Linked DNA regions of Arabidopsis thaliana. The protein of the gene in region 3 interacts with the protein of the main gene of each other region in a pairwise test. Each region holds a gene or a part of one and is shown on either strand. Other genes may lie near its edges.

Region 1 (3,757 bases), 3.9 Mb from region 3:
CCTAGTCGGAATTGTTATGAGTTGTTGGTAAAGAGGTTGTGTGAAGATGGGAAGATGGATAGAGCATTGAACATTCAGGCTGAGATGGTTGGGAAAGGATTTAAGCCGAGTCAAGAGACGTATAGAGCTTTTATCGACGGGTATGGAATAGTAGGTGATGAGGAAACATCAGCATTGTTGGCCATAGAAATGGCTGAATCACTCAAGCTAAGAGCAGAAGAAGAAAGCTAGAAAAGTTGAGCTTCGTTGGTAAGCTGGTGAAGCAAAGATGACAAAACCACATAGAAACCAATTGGTGACACAATGTGGACAAGTTTTGTGGTGGTACGAGAAAGCGGTAAGAAGTGGTACACATTGTAAGATGATACAACGTTACCCATTAAAGCTATAATGATGAAAGAGGAGATTTATTCCACACTAACACCTCATGATGATATCTTATTGCTGAAGCAATTCTTATTCAAATCACATTCATTGATAGAGTTACGAGGAGAGACAGATCGTACAAAGCAATCACTCTTACATGAAAAAAAAAAGACAAATGGAAAAAGAAACTGAAGAGTTAACTTAAAAGATAAGAGCCCAGACGGGGAAGACGACGAGACAGATGATCCCGACGGTGTTGGAGATACCATTGGCTTTAGTAAATGCATTTCTGAATCCACCTGAAGCTCTAATGTGTTCTTGAAGCAAGTAACATCCAATACCTAAACATATAGCTAAACCAATCCAACTGTCTCTGAATGTGCCAGCAATCAAATTTGGTGCCACCACGGCGAGAAGAACCAAAGCCACCGGTAATTCCAGGTATTCTAATAACACAAACAACAGAGATAAGCCAAATCAGAATCAAAGTCTTGTTGCTTGTAATGGAGAGTGAATGAAAAAAAGTAGACAAACCTCTGGCGTGTTTAGGAAAGAAGAGTTGTACAACAACAGCTACGAAAGCAATCCATTTACCAATTTCTCCTCTGTCAAAGTTTCAGACACAAGTTAGGGTTTAGGAACATAATGATAAGTAAAGAAAAAGTCTCTGGCTTTTGTTGTGTTATACCTGAAAATACCAAAGATCAAGGAAGGAAGACTGAAGAAGATGTAAGGAATGAGAAGTGATGTGAGCATATTCGTCTTCCAATTGGTTCGATCCAACACCAACAAGTATCTGCATTTATTACATCAAAACCTCATCAAGATCAACACAAGAAACGGATAGAGGAAAGAGACATAGAAACAGAGAGAATGGTTACATGGCGGCGATTGAAGCAACCCATTCGAGGACAGAGGTACCAAAGCCTAAACCAGTGAGTGTGAAGGCGTGTGTAGCTAGGTTCTTAGCAGCGATAGTGAGCTCGTTGAAATCGGATCCGATCATGGCCTTAAGGGTTCCATGGTCATTCCTCAACGACTTCATAGGCATCTTTTCTTGCCGGAGAAGAGAGAACTATGAATAATTGATGTGAGAAGAGAAGAGAGTAAAGAGTAGATAGATGGTGATGAATGTGTTGGAAGACTTTGGTTATAAAGATATTACAAGTGACTCGATGGATACGTTTACGCCACGTGGCAGTTATGAAAATAGTTTAATTTGGACGAACTAGATATTTTATCTATATTAACAATGATATAGTATAGTTTACTTAATAAGCTAATCCGATTTCTGACATAGACCTTAGACACATGTCGACACCAACTTCTCACACATGAACGTTCTAATAAGTTTGCTTTAACAAATGTAATTGGTGGACGTAAGAAACAATGGGACGAGCCAGCTGTCCAGTTGTATTTTTTTTTAATGATAATATTTATTACAATGCAAATAATTAGATATGTTATGGTGGAATCTCTTAACATGGATATATTAAGAATGGGAAAAATCAACATCTAAATCATAGGGTATGTCGGTATACATTAAAGTCAGAGATCGTCAAATCCAACTAAATAATAACAATATGCTTCAAGCAGATTTATTATATTTAGCCAATAAGTTGTATGGATTCGTTGAAGTTTTCATTCTATAATTAGACCATATGGTTTTACAGTTTTCTACTGTAAATGAATTCACAAAAATCTAAATTAAAAAAAAATAGAAAAATACTTAATTATAAAGAGATACTAGTTCGATAATCATATATGTAACTAAGTATAAATAAAACCAAATAGAAAATGTGCAAGTAAATTGTTGAGCTAAAAAATCAGATGAGATGGATCAAAATCCAATCAGTTAATGGTTACAAAAAAAAAAAAAAACAGAGTGGCAGAAGTTATGGTTTTTAATATGATTATGTGATGTCGGCAGAAGATTTGTCTTGAGTAGGACCAGCCAAATAAAAATAAATTTTGTTTTACCATATTAAAGTTGTTGTTGACGGAAAGAAAAAAATGTAACATGCTCCAGAATCGTAACAAGTAAGAGAGTATCGAACTCTCATTACGGTAACGAAATACAGATTCATCCCTAGCATAACTACATAAGCGACATAAGCTATGAATCAGAGTCCAAAATAAAATTAGAATTTTTCGTTTTTCAGTTCTGATTTTTTTTAAAGATTTAAGCCTAAAACCTAAAATGTTTAATAACTCATGAGAGTTGAACCCAATTTTTTCTTTTTTCTTTTTCGTTTTGATGATTTTAGTTTTTAATCAGTATTTGTGATCTTTCCATATTATATTTATGTCGTTTATGATAATTAAAAATAAAACTAAAATTTTACTTGGAGTAAAACCCTCAATATTGTTGGATCGGTCCTGAATATGACCTCACTAGTTGTTACTCGGTTAAAGAGTATCACGTTAAATAAGCTGCTGAGTGCTGACACTACGCTCCACAATATCCATATTAAATAATAGAAACTTAGTTTAACCAGAACGGGAAAAATGTCATTTAAATCACGACTTCGCAATTTGTGGTGCTTTAAACATAAACTTTGTACTTTGTGATTAAAATCATCAATTACGTGTTGACTTCAGATAAAATCACTAACTTTCGTTGACAGAGCCAAATTAGTCACAACATCAACTGAATAAACAGAGCAATTAGAAGATGTGATTTATCCGTTAATGAGACCGTTTAAGAGCAAAACGACGTCGTTTGCAATTGAAACAAAAACAGGAAAAATGCCATATAAATCATGACTTCGCCATTTGCAGTGCTTTAAAGCATGAACTTTGTGCCTTGCAATTCACTTTGATTTCAAAATACAGGAGTGAATTCGAAGAAGAAAAGAAGAAGAGATTTGAGGATCTAGGGTTTCTTATTTCTGAATTGGGGATTTTTGTTTCAATTGCAAACGACGTCGTTTTACTCTTAATCGTACTTATTAACGGATAAATCACAGCGTTAATGAAAATCTAGAATGGCCTGTAAAAATTCTCCCATATATCTAATTTTGAAATAATTTTGCTGGAATAGAGTTTAGTTGATAAGATACACTTCAAGTGTTTTGTGTTGAAGGAAAGAACTATATGATCGTCATGTGGATCAAAAGCCCAAAGCCCAAAGCCCAAACCTTTTGTAACCGTTGTTTCCGTCTGGGCCAAAAGCCGAAAGCTCATTTGGTATCAATAAAAAAAAAAAAAAATCGTTATCTGTATTGAATATTGATGATATCTTCCAGCAATCTCATTCATGATTGGCCACTTCAAAATCTTTCAATCAAATTTTAGTTTTGGGTTCCCTCAGAATTCCTACGTTATTAGAAAAATTATAATCATTTCTTGTTTTATTTCTTACTGAATGATGCGAATGTTCCTAATTACA
Region 2 (3,757 bases), on a different chromosome or scaffold from region 3:
ATGTTGAAAGTGGCAAACGTAGGCTTGATGGCCTTTGGTTTAGTGCTTATCACCCCTTTAATTGTACGAGATTTGATGTTTTTGGCAGTCATTCAATATTTTACGGTATGAACTTGGCCAAAAGTATGATTCCCACTATGATGTTTTCAACCCAACAGAATATGGACCACAATCAAGCCAAAGGGTAAAATCCTTAAATCTGTCATATTTATAGCTTTCTTTAGAACCCGAGACCTCATTTGAATTTACGCAGATTGCCTCCTTCCTGTTGTACTTATCTGATGTTGAAGAAGGCGGTGAAACCATGTTCCCATTTGAGGTCAGTTTATAATATATTATTTGCTTACTTATTATACAGACCCTTTCGTTAGTTTTGATTCCATTTAAACGCTTTCTATTTAACAGAACGGTTCTAATATGGGCATCGGATACGATTACAAGCAATGTATTGGGTTGAAAGTAAAGCCTCGGAAAGGAGATGGTCTTCTTTTTTATTCCGTGTTTCCAAATGGAACGATTGATCAGGTAAACAAAGTTTGAACACATTTCATTTCTTCTCTTGACTCCTATTCCTTGGATTAGTTCATGCTAATAGGAGCTCTTTGCTGTGGTTCCAATGCTTCTGCAGACTTCGCTTCACGGGAGCTGCCCGGTGACCAAAGGAGAGAAATGGGTGGCAACCAAATGGATCAGAGACCAAGACCAGGAAGAATAAGTTAGGTTTTTTTCCATATATCTATCTCAGTCTCACAGCTTCTATCTTTTGACTAAAAATCTGCTGCTGGATCCCTCGTGTACAGTTCTTCGCTGAAACAGTGTAACTATTTAGCTTTCTTATAATGCGAATGATACAAAAATTAAAACCTGATAATGAAAACTTGGTTCGAAATATCATTTGAACAATAGAAGTTTCTTGTTGTTTGATATTTCAGTAAAAGAAATATAAGAACTTATAAGATTAACACAGAAGTGATGACAAGTGTGGATCGATTTGGGTGTTCTGATTACTTGGTATTGAGTATTTACTGCTCGTTTGAGTCCGTCAAGTCTCTTGTTAATTTGCAATGTGTACTAATTTTTTCCCTTATAACTTAACAAAATGTGTTGTATGATTGTATTTGTATCTATTAAATGGAAAATTATTTTGTCCATGTTATATATATAAAAAATGTATCTGAGCTTACACACCAGGGACCATCTTTTTATTCGAGTTTTTGTGGACACATGAGTCATGAGTGATACCGATAATAATTTTTGTTTTTTTTTGTGTGTGTGACATCATCTACGTTTAGTTTGGTTTAGAATCTTCGAAAAATTGCCGACAGAAAATAAGAGAATCTTCTCTTCCAATGATCTACGTTCTTTTTGACTAAATATATAAAAATAAAAGAGTTCATAAAAAGTGGCTAAAAGTCGGAACTTGGGACACGAACGCAACACGTGGCTTCTACTAAAGGTTAGCGTCACTGAATTAAGTTTTACGTGTCAGAAGTGATGACGTCGACACTAACCAATGTGAACAGGACGTGTAAACAACCCTAGAACACTACAGAACAGAAACAGTTTGGGGATGTTTGGTTTTTGAACCGTCCACCTTTGACGGTCACGCGCTCTTCAGCCTTCAGGCACTCTTTCCTCCGCCTAACATAGAAATTGGAAAGGTTATTTTCTCCAATAATTTGGCTTGGCTTTTGAGTTTATTGAGTGATTAGCTAATAATAAATAATAATCAATTTGTTGGCTTATATATAATCAATGTGCTAAGTAACACTATAGCTTTCACAAAAACTTCGGTTATTAGGAAAGATCTCGACAATTCTGTATCTAGAAAAGGCATGATTAATTAATTTATTAAGAACAAAACTAATTTATGAAGAACGATTGCAATGGTACGAGACGCGAGTAGAAAAACCTTTATACTCGCGAAATATACAAATTGTGTGTTTCATTATTTATTGGCATTTAAACTTTTTAAAAAAACAGAGCTCTGTTTCTTCTTCTCCACCGCCGTTATATATAAAACCCTTCCCTGAACCCCCAAAACTCTCGGAGCCATCACACGACAATGACCGGCGCATTGTTTAGAAACGCTGCTTCCGACGCCGCTCGGATCTTTCGATTACAGCGAGCAACGATGACGAATCCTTTTGGAAAGCTCGACCCTTTACCGATAGGAGGAAACATCCAGCGATTGCAGTCGAGGCCTTTTTATCGTACGCCTCAGTTTCTCGGGAAAGCAAAGGAAACAGGTGTCTCTGGTTTCTGTTCGTCTTCGTCTTCGTCTTCTTCGACGGTCTCTACAGCAGGATTCATCGGATGGTATTTGGGAATGGTGAAATCTCGGCCGGTTCTTACCAAATCCGTCACGTCCTCGCTTATTTACATAGCAGCCGATTTGTCTTCGCAGGTAATTTCAAAAATCTATCTCATTTTTGTTTTGTAAGCCTACAAATCAGATTTTAGATATTCTGTGATTATGTTCTTGTTGATTCAGTCCTAAGATTCCATTGTGTTTTCTAACAAATGGTAATAGTAGAAGTCACTGTATCTCCATTGTGCTTTAGAGATTTGAGATAGGACAAGAATTACTTCTAGATTAAGAAGTAATGATCGATTCTTAGTAATGTGGATGTAGTAGCGGGTTTTATGTGAATTGAGTTGTTATATTTGCTTACGTTTCTTTGTTCTTGTATTGTTGTTGACAAAAGTGTGACTTGTTTGATCTTTCAACAGACAATTCCACAAGCTTCAGTGGATTCTTATGACTTGGTAAGAACAGCAAGGATGGGAGGATATGGGTTATTAATCTTGGGTCCTACACTTCACTATTGGTTCAATCTCATGTCAAGTCTCTTCCCAAAACGAGATTTGATCACAACGTTTAAGAAAATGGCCATGGGACAGACAGTCTATGGGCCTGCCATGAATGTTGTTTTCTTCTCACTGAATGCAGCCCTACAGGGTAAGCTTTCAGCTGTACATGAAAAATAATCAACTGGTTCCTTTCTTATAGTCTATATATTCTTCTTTGAGCAACATATAAAAGTATGATTTTTCTGAAACTCTAGATCCTGTTGACCTTCAATCTTAAGGGTTGTTATAGAGCAGGTTGTTTGATGTTACATTCTTTCTCTAAATGGCGTTTGAAGAGAGGAGAATTGTTGTTAGAATTTGATCCTAAGCTATTCTTGATGACATCAAAGTCTGATTTTCAATTATTTTTTCAGGTGAAAATGGTTCAGAGATAGTTGCTAGATTGAAAAGGGACCTACTTCCCACAATGCTTAATGGTGTCATGTATTGGCCTTTGTGTGATTTTATTACTTTCAAGTTCTGCCCTGTTTATTTACAGGTATGTATGATTGATACCTACCACTTTATTTCCAACTTAGCTTCACTTTGGTTAACCTTTTGTTCAAGACAGATCATATATTTGCTGCATTCATTTTGTCTTATCGTGAGTTTTGGTTATCAACTGAAGTCTGGTTTCTTTTTGTCTGCAGCCACTTGTGAGCAACTCGTTTTCGTATCTATGGACAATCTACATAACTTATATGGCAAGCCGTGCGACGCCAACCGCCATTGAAATTTGAAAAAGCTCTCTGGGAAACTCTCTCAGTTTAGAAATGAAGAAATGAAGCCAAAAAACACTTTTACTAAAAGAAACAGGGCATTCTTCAACATTCTTTGTTTCCTCTCTCCAGATTTTAGGAGGATATAATGTAAGGAGTTTTGGGGAAAACTGTGCATTTGGACA
Region 3 (3,757 bases):
TAAAGAAGTACTACTAAAACAATTGTTACCCACAAAGATAGATTCATGAGGAAGTAAGAAACAAAATACAACTCAAAAGAAGAAGATACAATGGAGTTCAAAAGATTCATGAACCTCTAATTAAACACCCATCCATCACTATGTAATATAATCAGCCATAACTTAAAAATATAATCGCAAAACTAAAACGTAGACGAACGAACACCGACAATGATAATCATACCTATGAAAATGCAAAATCCATCTTCCCAAATCATTCTAACCTTGAAGCTCTTATTTCCTGAAATTGCATTCTTGAATCAGAACAGATCAATCTTGGGTTTCGTTGCGTTTAGCTTCACTTTCCCTCTCTTCCAAAAGCTTCCCAGCTTCGTCATCACTTGCCTGAACCTTCTTCTGTGCATCTTTAGCCTTCAACGCCTGTAACTTGCAGTGATTGTAATATCCAACACCCAAAAAGGCAAGTCCATAACCAAACAGATTGATAGGTGTGACCGTGTCCTTAATCACCGACCACGAGAATGCAATCAAGAGCCAATCCTTAACCACACCAGCCACATTCATAGTCAAAGCAGAGGTTTTCCCAACGAGCAAGAACACAGCAAGATTCAAAGCAAACGCACAAACAGAATTGGTTCCAAAGATCACGAAATCGAAATGGAAACTCGAAGTATCTCTAAGAACTGGAAACTCCACAAAGATCCAAGGAACAGAGAGGAAAACCAAACAACAAGGAGCAACGTAATAGAGAGAAGTGATTGGATTTAGATTGATTCCTTTAGAAGTAAGCAAGATCTGAATCAAAACCAACCTAGTGGCTTCAAAAGCAACAGCACCAAGCTGAAGAAAAACACCCCAACCATCAAACTTAGCTTCACCATAAGCAGCAATAGCAACACCAAACGAGATCGAAAGCATGTTAGTCATAGTCTGAGATTTGAAAGTCTCTTTCTTCAACAAAACCCCGATTGAGTAAACTGCTACAGGCATTAGGGCTTTGAGCATTTGAATGAAGGAAACAGAGAGGTAGATGTAAGCAGAGTTTGATAACCAGAGAGAAAGTGAGTACAACGCGCCGATTGGTACGACGGATCTGAGATAAGTCTCGCGTGACATTGAAACAGGCTCGACGACTTTGAAGACTTTGATGAGAATCACAGCTAAGGAAGAGCAAAAACCCATGTGGATCATGGTGAGAGTTATTGGGAATGGCCAATTATACATCTTCTTGTCGAGGATGTATTTGTTGTAGACGATGACTGTGAAGCTGAGGAAGATCCAGATTGCGACATAGGTGTATGAAAGGATGATCTTTTTGATCACTCCGTCGGAAAGTGCACGACCTTTCCCCATGGCGGTGGGTTTGTTTTCGCCGGAGAAGAAGATGGTGGTGGTGGTGCGCAGGATAAAGGATTAAGAGAGAGAGGTGCGCACGATAGAAGTCTCTCTCTCTTTGGGTCAATGTTTTTGGGTTTGGGGGAGAAAGAGACTTTGAGTTTGGTCTTGTAATGTAGAGGAAGGGCTTACGTGACTTTGTTATGCTACGTGGCGAAAAGGTGCGCGATTATTTGACGATTGGCGTATTGTGGGACCCGCATTTTTAATCATCTGTTTTCTAGTGGATTTATACTTAGTCTTTAAATTATGAAATAAATGTAACAAATGTTTTGTTTTGAACTCTTTTTTTAGTCAATTACGTTTTGTTAATTTCTCTAGGGTTTTTTAATATTGCGGAAAACTCACAGAAAGGAACACAATTTTACCTTAACTAATTTAGTAAAAATTAAATATTTGTATATCTTAACACTAAATAACGTCATTTTTGTTATAAAATTAATAAGCCAGTTATTTAGATAAAGTATGTGATGATGTATGTTTCCTGAAACGGCTTTTAGTCGAAACTCTTTAAGTTTACGTTGCCTTAAATTAATGACGAATCCCTAAAGCTATTAGTTAGAGACTTAAGAGTAATTAAATGGAAACTTGTAACGAAGAGAGTATGCGAAGTAAATAAATGGGAGAGAGTAACGATGAAACAAAGAGTCAACGTTTAAATTAGAGCGCGTGAATCTCACATCGCGACAGTTTTGCTGCGTCCCTCTTACGTTGCATTATTGGTGCCTTGGTGGTGGTGCTAATGTAGTTGTCGCAACGTTTGTTGGGTTACTTCGGGTCCAGAGTCCAGACGGGGTTTGTTGACCGACTCAGTACTTGTACAAATACCTGTCAAAATCTTGTCTTTCGCTCGCCTGATAAAATATTATTTGGTTTTGATTGTGGAATTATTCTGTTCAAAACTTCAAATGATTCAAACACTCAAAAGTCAAAACAAAAGCTTCTGGTGTAGAGACATTACAATATTTTTTTTCGACCATACATTTTCTATTAAATATATCATTTATTTGGTGTTGCCTAATCTGAAAGTTTAAATTTACAAAAAAAAAAGTTAGTAATAAATCTATAAATTAAAACGACTAAAATAATTTGGTATCTTATCATTCGTCTGAATACATATACCAAATTCAAAGTGAGATTATAAATTTTTCAAAACCGTTTCATGTGACAAGAGACTTTTTGGAAATCCCACGCCAAAGTTACAAAGGAACATTATTTATTTTGTAACTACAGTAACGTTTGCAAAAATAAATAAATTATCCGTAGTTACTACTTTCGGAACATTTGTTTTACGAAGAGTCTGACTGTCACATGGACAGCATTTCACCGATTACGTGACGTGCGAGGAAGTCATGTGGCCATATATAAAGTAGCTACTAACTTCCCATGTTCTGCACGCCAATTGCAAAAATACTTCTACTAATGTTTAACCAATACAGGCATATAGCGAATGAATCTTTTGCAAAGAAAGAAAAGAAACATTTTAGGAGGGAAAAATAAGTTTGTAGCAAACCGATTATGCAGTTACATTTACATTTCTCCCTTAATATTTATCTACTTTGTTTCTCTTTTACAGAGACATCATTTAGAATTTATAAATTATAATTACTAATAAGGGAAGCAAAGTTAATGAATAGAGACAAAACAAGAAACAGAGAGCTAGTAACGATAGAGAGAACGAAACAAACGATTCAGCCCGAGAGAACGAAACAAAAGTGGCGGATATGATAACATCAAAGTCGATCATTTTTTTAATTTCCGTTTTAAGGTGATTTTAGTTATTGAGTACTTATTATTATTATGATCTAATAAGTGCACAACTGCTTGCTTAGTAACTAGTAGTTCTGGTTACTTGAAATACAGGCTAATTGGTAATTCAAAATACGTAAAGTAACAAATATTATTTTTATCAGTTACATGCAAGTATGCAATCATATCTGATAGTATTTATCAACCGCGGACCCAATAGTACAAGCAGAAGTAAAACCTTCACCTAAACGAATCACCGTATAAAGTGGCATCCCCATAATTAAAACCGTGGACATTATTCATATAAATAACAAAAATAAGATACTGAATTAGTCGTGTCATAAGCCAGATACCAAAGCCGGATTCAACTGGAAACTTAGACGGAACTCTGCCAGAAAAACCGTTCTTTAGAGAGAGAGCCCATTACATTTTTTTACCTTCAATGGAAGAGTGGAGACAGTATGGTTCTATTGCTAATGTGGAGGAACCGTATATTCTTCTTCTCCATTCGTCATTTTATTAACAAAAGCTTGTTTCTTATATTTAAATATAAAAAAATTATATGAACCACATGTTGTTCAGTTTTGTGACAAAATGAATGATCTGTACATAT

The links.
Region 1: the proteins of AT2G25520 (region 3) and COR413-PM1 interact in a two-hybrid assay, tested with the Arabidopsis thaliana proteins (one large-scale study listed by BioGRID).
Region 2: the proteins of AT2G25520 (region 3) and AT4G33905 interact in a two-hybrid assay, tested with the Arabidopsis thaliana proteins (one large-scale study listed by BioGRID).

What each region holds. Positions count from the first base shown.
Region 1 is NC_003071.7:6,947,823-6,951,579, reverse strand, and holds COR413-PM1 (cold regulated 413 plasma membrane 1), read right to left. Parts: upstream 1,730-3,757; 5' UTR 1,418-1,729; coding exon 1,248-1,417; intron 1,163-1,247; coding exon 1,055-1,162; intron 972-1,054; coding exon 901-971; intron 813-900; coding exon 568-812; 3' UTR 555-567; coding exon of another isoform or gene 520-554; 3' UTR 388-519; downstream 1-387. Other genes in the region: AT2G15980 (Tetratricopeptide repeat (TPR)-like superfamily protein), read left to right, coding at 1-231.
Region 2 is NC_003075.7:16,253,901-16,257,657, reverse strand, and holds the start of AT4G33905 (Peroxisomal membrane 22 kDa (Mpv17/PMP22) family protein), read left to right. Parts: upstream 1-1,897; 5' UTR 1,898-2,065; coding exon 2,066-2,407; intron 2,408-2,733; coding exon 2,734-2,962; intron 2,963-3,227; coding exon 3,228-3,352; intron 3,353-3,503; coding exon 3,504-3,593; 3' UTR 3,594-3,757. Other genes in the region: AT4G33910 (2-oxoglutarate (2OG) and Fe(II)-dependent oxygenase superfamily protein), read left to right, coding at 89-184, 254-319, 406-525, 629-715.
Region 3 is NC_003071.7:10,858,546-10,862,302, reverse strand, and holds the start of AT2G25520 (Drug/metabolite transporter superfamily protein), read right to left. Parts: upstream 1,636-3,757; 5' UTR 1,354-1,635; coding exon 310-1,353; 3' UTR 1-309.